2 linked regions of the Cricetulus griseus genome follow. The protein of the gene in region 1 binds, or shares a complex with, the protein of each later gene. Links are inferred from orthologs where the notes say so. Each region holds a gene or a part of one and is shown in the gene's direction. Other genes may lie near its edges.

Evidence for each region. The genes of interacting proteins can lie anywhere in the genome.
Region 2: Mta3 (region 1) and Cdk2ap1 share a complex: the UniProt entries of both Homo sapiens proteins name them as parts of the nucleosome remodeling and deacetylase (NuRD) repressor complex. The link is inferred for Cricetulus griseus from reciprocal best matches to the Homo sapiens genes MTA3 and CDK2AP1.

Annotation. Positions count from the first base shown.
Region 1 is NC_048598.1:85,391,950-85,395,574, forward strand, and holds part of Mta3 (metastasis-associated protein MTA3), read left to right. Parts: intron 1-2,700; coding exon 2,701-2,889; intron 2,890-3,625. UniProt on the Homo sapiens protein: Acts as a component of the histone deacetylase NuRD complex which participates in the remodeling of chromatin.
Region 2 is NC_048597.1:104,074,089-104,078,250, reverse strand, and holds the start of Cdk2ap1 (cyclin-dependent kinase 2-associated protein 1), read left to right. Parts: upstream 1-1,257; 5' UTR 1,258-1,351; coding exon 1,352-1,628; intron 1,629-4,162. UniProt on the Homo sapiens protein: Inhibitor of cyclin-dependent kinase CDK2. Also acts as a component of the histone deacetylase NuRD complex which participates in the remodeling of chromatin.

The DNA of each region.
Region 1 (3,625 bases):
GGGAGGCAGAGGCAGGCGGATCTCTGTGAGTTCGAGGCCAGCCTGGTCTATAGAGCAAGTTCCAGGACAGGCTCCAAAACAATACAGAGAAACCCTGTCTCGAAAAACCAGAAATATATATAATCTCTACTACCAGAAGCCCCATAAACTGCCCAGGCCTCCTAACTGACACCCACAATCAGGGGGCCTGGTTTGGTCCTATGATAGTTCTCCAGTTGTCAGACTGGTGTCCATGAGCTCCCACTTGCTCAGGTCAGTTGTTTCAGCATCACAGTTAACTTTTTAGAGGGGGAGTTGAGGATCAAACATCAAGCAAATCTGGCACTGAATTATGCTCGAGCCCTTGTGTAATTATTGACTTTGTTGTTTTTGGTTTTTTGAGACAGGCTTAATATATTCAAGGACAACACTGACTTCCTTATCCTCCTGCCTCCGCATCCCAAATGGTGGATTTGGCTTTTGAATACTACCTAGTCTTTTAGGTTTTTGTTGTTGTTTTATTGTATTACCTGTTGTCAATTTAGGACATCAAAGTAACAGTCTATGGCCCTATCCTTAGTTGAAAGGATCCCTAAATACTATTGATCTTTCTTTCTGTTTTCATTATGAGATAGTCAGAAAGAGGGCTCAGATGTGAAGATAAAAGAAACAGTTAAATCACAGGGTCTATTTGGTGAGGGTAGTTAGAGAATCAGATTCATCACTTGGCAGGGTGTGAGCAGGAGGCAAGAGCAGGGCCAGCATCCTGAAACTGTGGTGTGGCAAAGAGGGCTTCTGTCAGAGAATGCTGCCCCACCACCGATGCCTGCAATAAATGACCACCTCAAACATCGGCCCAAACTGTGACTGTCAAGGGAAACTGGTAATGACATTTCGACTTTTGTTTTGTGAAATCCAGAGATTGGTTTTAAAGCTAATGCCAAAAACCTTGTTCAACCAGTTACTAAACAGATCTGTACTAGTTGCCGACGCCTTTGGCTTTGTCAACACAGTTTCTGTGTCCATAATCACCCATGTTGGTTAATGTCTCCCAGTGTAAATTCACCCTTGTAGGATTTCACTGGCTGGCTTCAAATATGTAATCCTCCTGCCTCACTCCTGAGTATACTAAGATTATAGACATGTACTACCATATCCAGCTGTAAATATATATTTTAATTAATTGTTGTTGTTTGTTTTGAGACAGAGCTTCTCTATGTAGCTTTGGCTGTCCTAGAACTTTCTGTGTAGATCACGCTAGCCTTGAACTCATAGAACCACCTCCACTCCCTCCCAAGTGCTGTGATTAAAGGTGTGCATCACCACTACATGGCTAATTAATGCTTTTTTTTTATTTTTTTATTTGGTTTATTGGGAGACAGGCTCTCACTGTGTAGCCCTGGCTGGCTGGAATTCAAAGATAGCTTGCCTGTGGCTCCCAAGTGCTGGGATTAAATGTGTGCTCCACCACGTCATGCCCATTTGTGATGTTTTAGATGATTGACACATGTGATGGTGTAAAAGATGCAAGCCTTGGCATTCATGTCCTCTGAAGCCTGTGTGTGTGGTGGGGACAGACACAGAAGTAGGGTCACCTTGCCAGCCTCTGTGTGTGTGTGTGGGCGAGGGTAGGGGGTGGGGATGGGACGGGGACAGATGGACGGATGGACAGACTGACTGTTCTACTCCGAAGTTTTCTTGGTATGCATAAACGTCGTGCACACAGATAAAGGACTCTTCTCTAGATAAACTTACAAAAGTTTTTTATCTGCTGCTGGTCAGGGTTGGGATCTGGGAATCAAGCCCAGCACTTGGTGCCTGCCGGGAAAACACTACCACACCCTCCTGCTCATATGTCCTAATCTCTGCCCCCTTTCAAATCACCCTTCCTTAGGGTCTACAGAAACCTTCACTGGCCTGGCTGCTCTAAGCATGCCTGATCATCTGTTCTTGGTCTTCCCAAAGTCTCAATCAAGTTACATGTGAACTCGGATTTGCAATGTTGCTTGTTTTGTGTTTAATATGAAATGTATTCTTTTTACTTATTTATTTTGTGTGAACTTGTGTGTATGTGAGTATATGTGTGCCATGGAGTGCACGTGGAGCCAAGAGGACAACTTTTGGGAATCCATTCTCTCCTTCTACCATGTGGGTAGGGGAATTGAACTCAGGTTGTCAGCCTTGGCAGCAAGCACATTTACTTGCTGAGCCATCTCGTTGGCCCAAATATATAGTTTTGCTTTAATATGATGCTCTATTCTGTTTTTTCTTTTCATCTCTTGCTCTTATTAATAGTGCATTATTCTCTTACTTGAACCAATGCTTTTAATACAATACTTTTTCTCTCTCACACATATTATGTTTTTCCTTGGTCAGTGGAGATTATTCCACAGTAACTGAAGTGGCTTGGGTATTTTTAAGTAAATGAAATCTTGAGGTAAAATTGATTGTGTTCTTAATTGAATATTTTGAGCATTTGAATCTTCATAGTTGTTGCTATTCCAAATGGATTATTTTTAAAACACCTTAGCATTCTCTTACCAGATAGTATTCTCCTAAAGCAATCATTTGATGGTGATTGGCTGTTTGATTTTGCTATTTAAAAGGAAATACTAAAGATACCGTTAATTATGCATATCCTGCATTCAGTGTTCCGGTTTTCGCTGGCTTGCAGGTATACGAGGCCACTTGACCTTTCTTTCCTGTGTGTCTTCTCTCCAGTTCCATGCCATGGATACGCTGTACAGGCACGGCTATGACCTGAGCAGTGCCATAAGTGTCCTGGTGCCACTTGGAGGGCCAGTCCTGTGCAGAGATGAGATGGAGGAGTGGTCGGCCTCTGAAGCCAGCTTATTTGAAGAAGCACTGGAAAAATATGGCAAAGACTTCAATGACATCCGTCAGGACTTTGTAAGTGGAAAATCATGAGTGAACTGTTGGGACAGGAATGTTGTTTTATCTGTCTACTGATGCCTATGCCTTCAATTGGGCACCACTTGAAGGCGTGGTTTAAATGAGTGCACCATACCCAAGATAAATGATAAATAGGTATTTATTAGGGAAGTACTTACACAGATAAGAGTAAATAACCGCCGAGGTCTTCCTGCTCCAGAAGATGCCGTCTCTGCCCTTCTGATGTTCTCCGAAACCCAAAGAGAGTGTGAGCCAGCCCCTCCTCTACCTTAATGGATCACATCTGCACCTGAAACCACACCCAAAAGGTGCGGCCACCACTACAAGTTCACTGGCAAGGCAAGATGCCACTGCAGTGCCAGGGATCGAAGCCAGTGCCTTGAGAATGTGTTCTGTCCTTGAACCACACCTTCAGCCCTGACAGTAACTTTATTTGCTTAACATAAAATGAAGGGCCACTTATAAAGGAAGCAATTGACATTTGCTTTGTACTGTGAATATGACCTTGGGTGAGGCGTCCTGAGCGGCTGGAACACACCTTGGTTGCATGAGTTTACCCTCTGCAGCACTCTGATTTCCAAGCAGAGATATGAACAATTCTGAGCATTTGTGCTAAATACCGTCTGTGTGTACTCTCTGTTCTCGGTCTGCTTTACACTTCCTCTAGTTGTGTTACCAGTTGTTGATGTGTACTTGTAGGTGTGACCCTGACCAAGCAGAAGAGCCGGATTTG
Region 2 (4,162 bases), on another chromosome or scaffold:
TTCAAAAATTGACTACTAAAACGTTTAAAATATATATATTTTATATATATTATTTTATAATATATATATATATATCGTCTTATATCAGCCATTGTAGAATGGGTTGCATTCATTTCTTTATAAGATAAAATGTCACCAAGAAGCCTTTGACAGAGCAATTCTAAGGATGCTAGCAGGGGTGTTGGTGGAGCGGGGGTGGGAGGGGAAGAGGCGGTCCCCTCCCCTGCACCTTTAGTCCCAAAGGGAAAGGGAGAGTAAGACCCCGGTGGTGGTGCCTTTTTTTTGTCTAGCAGAGAAGCTGACGCCGTTGTCAACAGATTCACAGATCATGTCTAAATATGACTAATTAAAAACAAACAAACAAACATCAAAAAAGCCCAACCAACCTGCAAACCATGGCGATTAAAAACAACAGAAAAGGGTGGGCGTTTTATGTAATTTGATGAGCATTACTATTCAGGCAGAACTCCAAAATATAGTACCTTCGGAAGGTTATTCATCAAATCCCAAATACGTTTGGTGATGACGTTTCAGTCAGTTCCTAGGATGGGTGGGAGTGTGTATGGGGTGGGGTGGGGAAGGGGGGGTGTCTAAAACATGGAGTGTAAACTCCGGGGAGTCGAAACTTTGCCAAGTTCATTCTTGAATCCTTAGCGTCTAGAGCCGTGTCTGACACACAGTAGGTGCTCCCTTGAAAAATCCCAAAGAGTTCCTGTGCCAAATGCTGTGGATGCTGCGAGGGCGAATTTGCTGGAGGAGGAGGCGTCTCTTCATCCAGCTTTTGTCAGTCTCAAAGGAATCTTGGGTTCCCAAAGGGTTAAAAAAAAAAAAAAAAAGCCCACTTAATCCAGGCAGAGACATGACATTTTTTTTTTTTTCGAAATAAATGTCAAGAACGGGTTATTCTAATTCTGGGACAGAGCCAGACATGGACATCTGGAATGATCTACGTCCAAGTAAAAATAAATAAATAAAAAAAATAAGACAAACCACCAAAAAAAAAAAAAACCCGAAAACCCAATCGCCACCATTTTCTCCAGGTAATTTTCCATCCCTGCCCCCACAGTCAAGAGACACAGGAAAAAAAAGTACTTCTTCCATCCAGCCTGGCTGTTTAAGAAAGAGGAAGGAGCGGGCCAATGAGCGGCGCGCGGGAGGCTGGGGCGCCGCGGGGGCGCCGCGGGGACCGCAGCCCCCCAAACTTTGGCAAGTTGCGGGCGGCGCGCTGCGCGGGGCGCGGCCGCGGGGAGGCCGCCCCCTCGACGCCCGCCGCCCCCTCCCGGTTCGGGGCCGGGCCCAGCACCGGCTGGGCTCAAAGTTTGCGGCCGCCCCTGCGCCGCGCGCCCGATGTATGGGTGATATACTGCGGCGGCGGCAGGGTGAGGGACGGCCATATTTGCCGGCGCGGCCCGAGCCGGCGACAACAAAAAGTGCGCGGGCGCCCGGTGGGCGCTCGGACGGGCGCGGGGACGTGGGGCCGCCCGGCCCGGGCCTCGGCCTCGCCGTCGCCGCCGCCGCCGCGCTCGCGCCTGGCCCGGCTCTGCCCGGGCGCGCCCGGCCGCCCGCGGGGATGTCGTACAAGCCGAACTTGACCCGCGCACAATGCCCCGCCGCCGCCCTCAACGCCGGTGAGTGGGCGCGGCCGCGCGCGCGCGCAAAGTGCCGCCAAGTTGGGGGCTCGCGCTGCCGGCCTCGGCCCGGGGCTCCCCGAGTCGCGCGGCGCCTGAAGGCCGGCGAGCTGCCCGCGGGTGGCGGTGGTGGTTGGGGATGTCCGCGGGCCGGGGCAGCGCGGCGCGCCGCCTCAGCCGCCGCGCCGCCCATGATTCCCGCCGCCCGTGCCGCAAAGTTTCGCGGTGCGCCGGAGCTCGGCGGGGCTGCGCGCTCGGGCCCGGGTGCGAGCGGCCACGGATGGCGGGGGAAGCAAGGAACTCGGGCGGCCGGCCGGCGGGGCGAAGAAGGCTTTTTTCCTCAGCCCCCCCTTTTTTTTTCTTTCCTTAGGATTTTTGGGCGGCTCGGCGAGGGGCCCCTGCCGGCGGGAGGCGGGAGCGGCCGGCTGCGCGGGGAGCGAGGCGCGGGGCGCCGAGGGTCGGTGGAGCGGGACAGGCCAGGGCCGGGCCGCGTGGCCGCGGGCCCCAGGAGGGAGCCTGGCCCGGGTCGCGGGCGGCGGGTGGGCAGGGGACCGCAGCCTGGGGGTGGGAGCGGCTCCTGGCTCCCCATCCCCCACGCCCTCGGGAGGTCCCTGGAAAGAAGTTGGAGTGTCCGGGCCTCGTGGGCACTGCGGGCGGCGTGCTGGGTCCCGCGGGTCTCCATCTCGGAGTCCCCACGTGGGTACGCGCCCCAAGGGCCGCTCTGCAGAAGCCCGGGGGACCCGGTCTCCCTTCCCCGCTGGGGCTGGCGCCTCCGGGAAACTCCTGCAAAGTTCCTAGACAGCTTTCGGCTGTGCAGGGGCTAGTCCCGAACCCCGAGGGAACCGGGGCGAGGGGTGTGAAACCGTGGCGCTCATAGGTCACCGGTCTTGTGTCCCCTCTAGTAACCCCCTAGACATTTGGCTGTGAACAGACCACCCCCTGAAACAGACGCGAGATAACGGGGTGCCAGGAGAGCTAAGGCCTTCTGTGGGAGTTGGGGTCCGAGTTGGTTATGGTCGCTGTGTCAAACATACTACCCATGTCGGCACTTACAACTTGGGGGTGGTCTTGTGTTGAAATGTTGATTCTAGAACTCCAAAAATCCTCTAGAGGACCTCGAAAAGCCCTGGACATGTGTTTTTAAACTTCTTGGACACTGGCTGCTCTTTGGGATTTACGGTGCCAGCTTGGGAGAGTTGAAACACGTGGGCACAGAGCCCCCCAAAGCATGCAGCCACTGTATCACCCCAGATGGTGCCACCCCCTTTGGGTGACAGGCTTTGTTGGCAGGTAGGATTTTTGTCTCCCAGCCTTCTTGGTCAGTGCCTGGGATGGAAGGTTAGTGGGTTGCGTTGTCAGGCTGTGGGAAGCCAGAGACAGGCTTGATCTGGGGTAGTTGCCCCAGGGTCAAAAATTGGGACCTTTTGGGGTTGTGGGTCACAGTGGCAGGCAGCCCCTGGGACTCTGAAGCCCTGTTCTGGGCTTGCTAGCACCTGTATTCAGCTCAAGTTCTTTTTCTAATGACGAATGCCAGAGGCGGAGCGGGGTCTTAAGGTGTCCGGCATTTTGGTGGGGCCCGCCCGCCCGCTTGCCAGTATTACTTTGCAGAAAGCCCTGCTCTCCCCTGCCATCTGCATCCAAGATGGACTCTCACAGTGGCTCCTCCGCCTTCCCTGTCATCATCCCTCACGCCCTCCAGCCCTGCCTCCTGCTCACTGAGTTGCCAAGCTGCGGCCTGGCCGGCGGTGGCAGTGGCGGAGTTAGACAAAGCCCCCGCCTCCCCCGCCCGAGAGCCCCCCCCAGGCGCCCCAAGTGGCGGGAAGGCCGCCAGCTCCCCAGGCCCAGGCCGCTCTTTGTCTGGCGTGGGGGCGGGGAGCTGCGCCTGGCCCCAGGAGCTTCCTGGCCTCTGCCAAGCCCTCCCGGCTCTCTGCACACTGCGCTCATTGTCTGAGATGCTCCACACCGGCTGTGCTGACGTGGAGCTGCCTCCCTGGCCTCCCTCAGCCCAGGTGCCAATATCTTAGGGAAGGAGAGGGCTTGAGTGGTGCGGAAGACCCTTCCACCACGACTTCAGGGGTGCGGAGGGGGGGCGGGCTGATATCTTCCCCAACACTGAATATGGGCCTGGCTTTGACATAATCAGTCAGGCACATCTCCACTCCTCCAGGGTGGTGGGAAAGCAAGCTCTGAGATCCTCCACCCATGTTGTGGTGTTTCTCATTCCTCCTCTACACCCCCAGCCCCCTAATCCCATCCCCAAAGTCATTAAAATGTGGGATAACTCAACTATTGGGAAGTTTCTCAAAGATGGAGAAACAGAGGCCCACAAGGGCCTTGACAGAGCTCCCACAGCCAGGAGTGGAGTGGCACTGCTGGGACAGACCCCCAAGTCCAGGAGAGAAGATGTGTCAGGGAGGTGAGAAATAGCAAAAAGCGTGGGAAGCACACGAGGTGCCCCTGGTGCTTCAAGGATGACCTTGTATGTGGTGCTGGAATCCTCTAAAGGCCTCAAATGCTCTATCATCACACACACA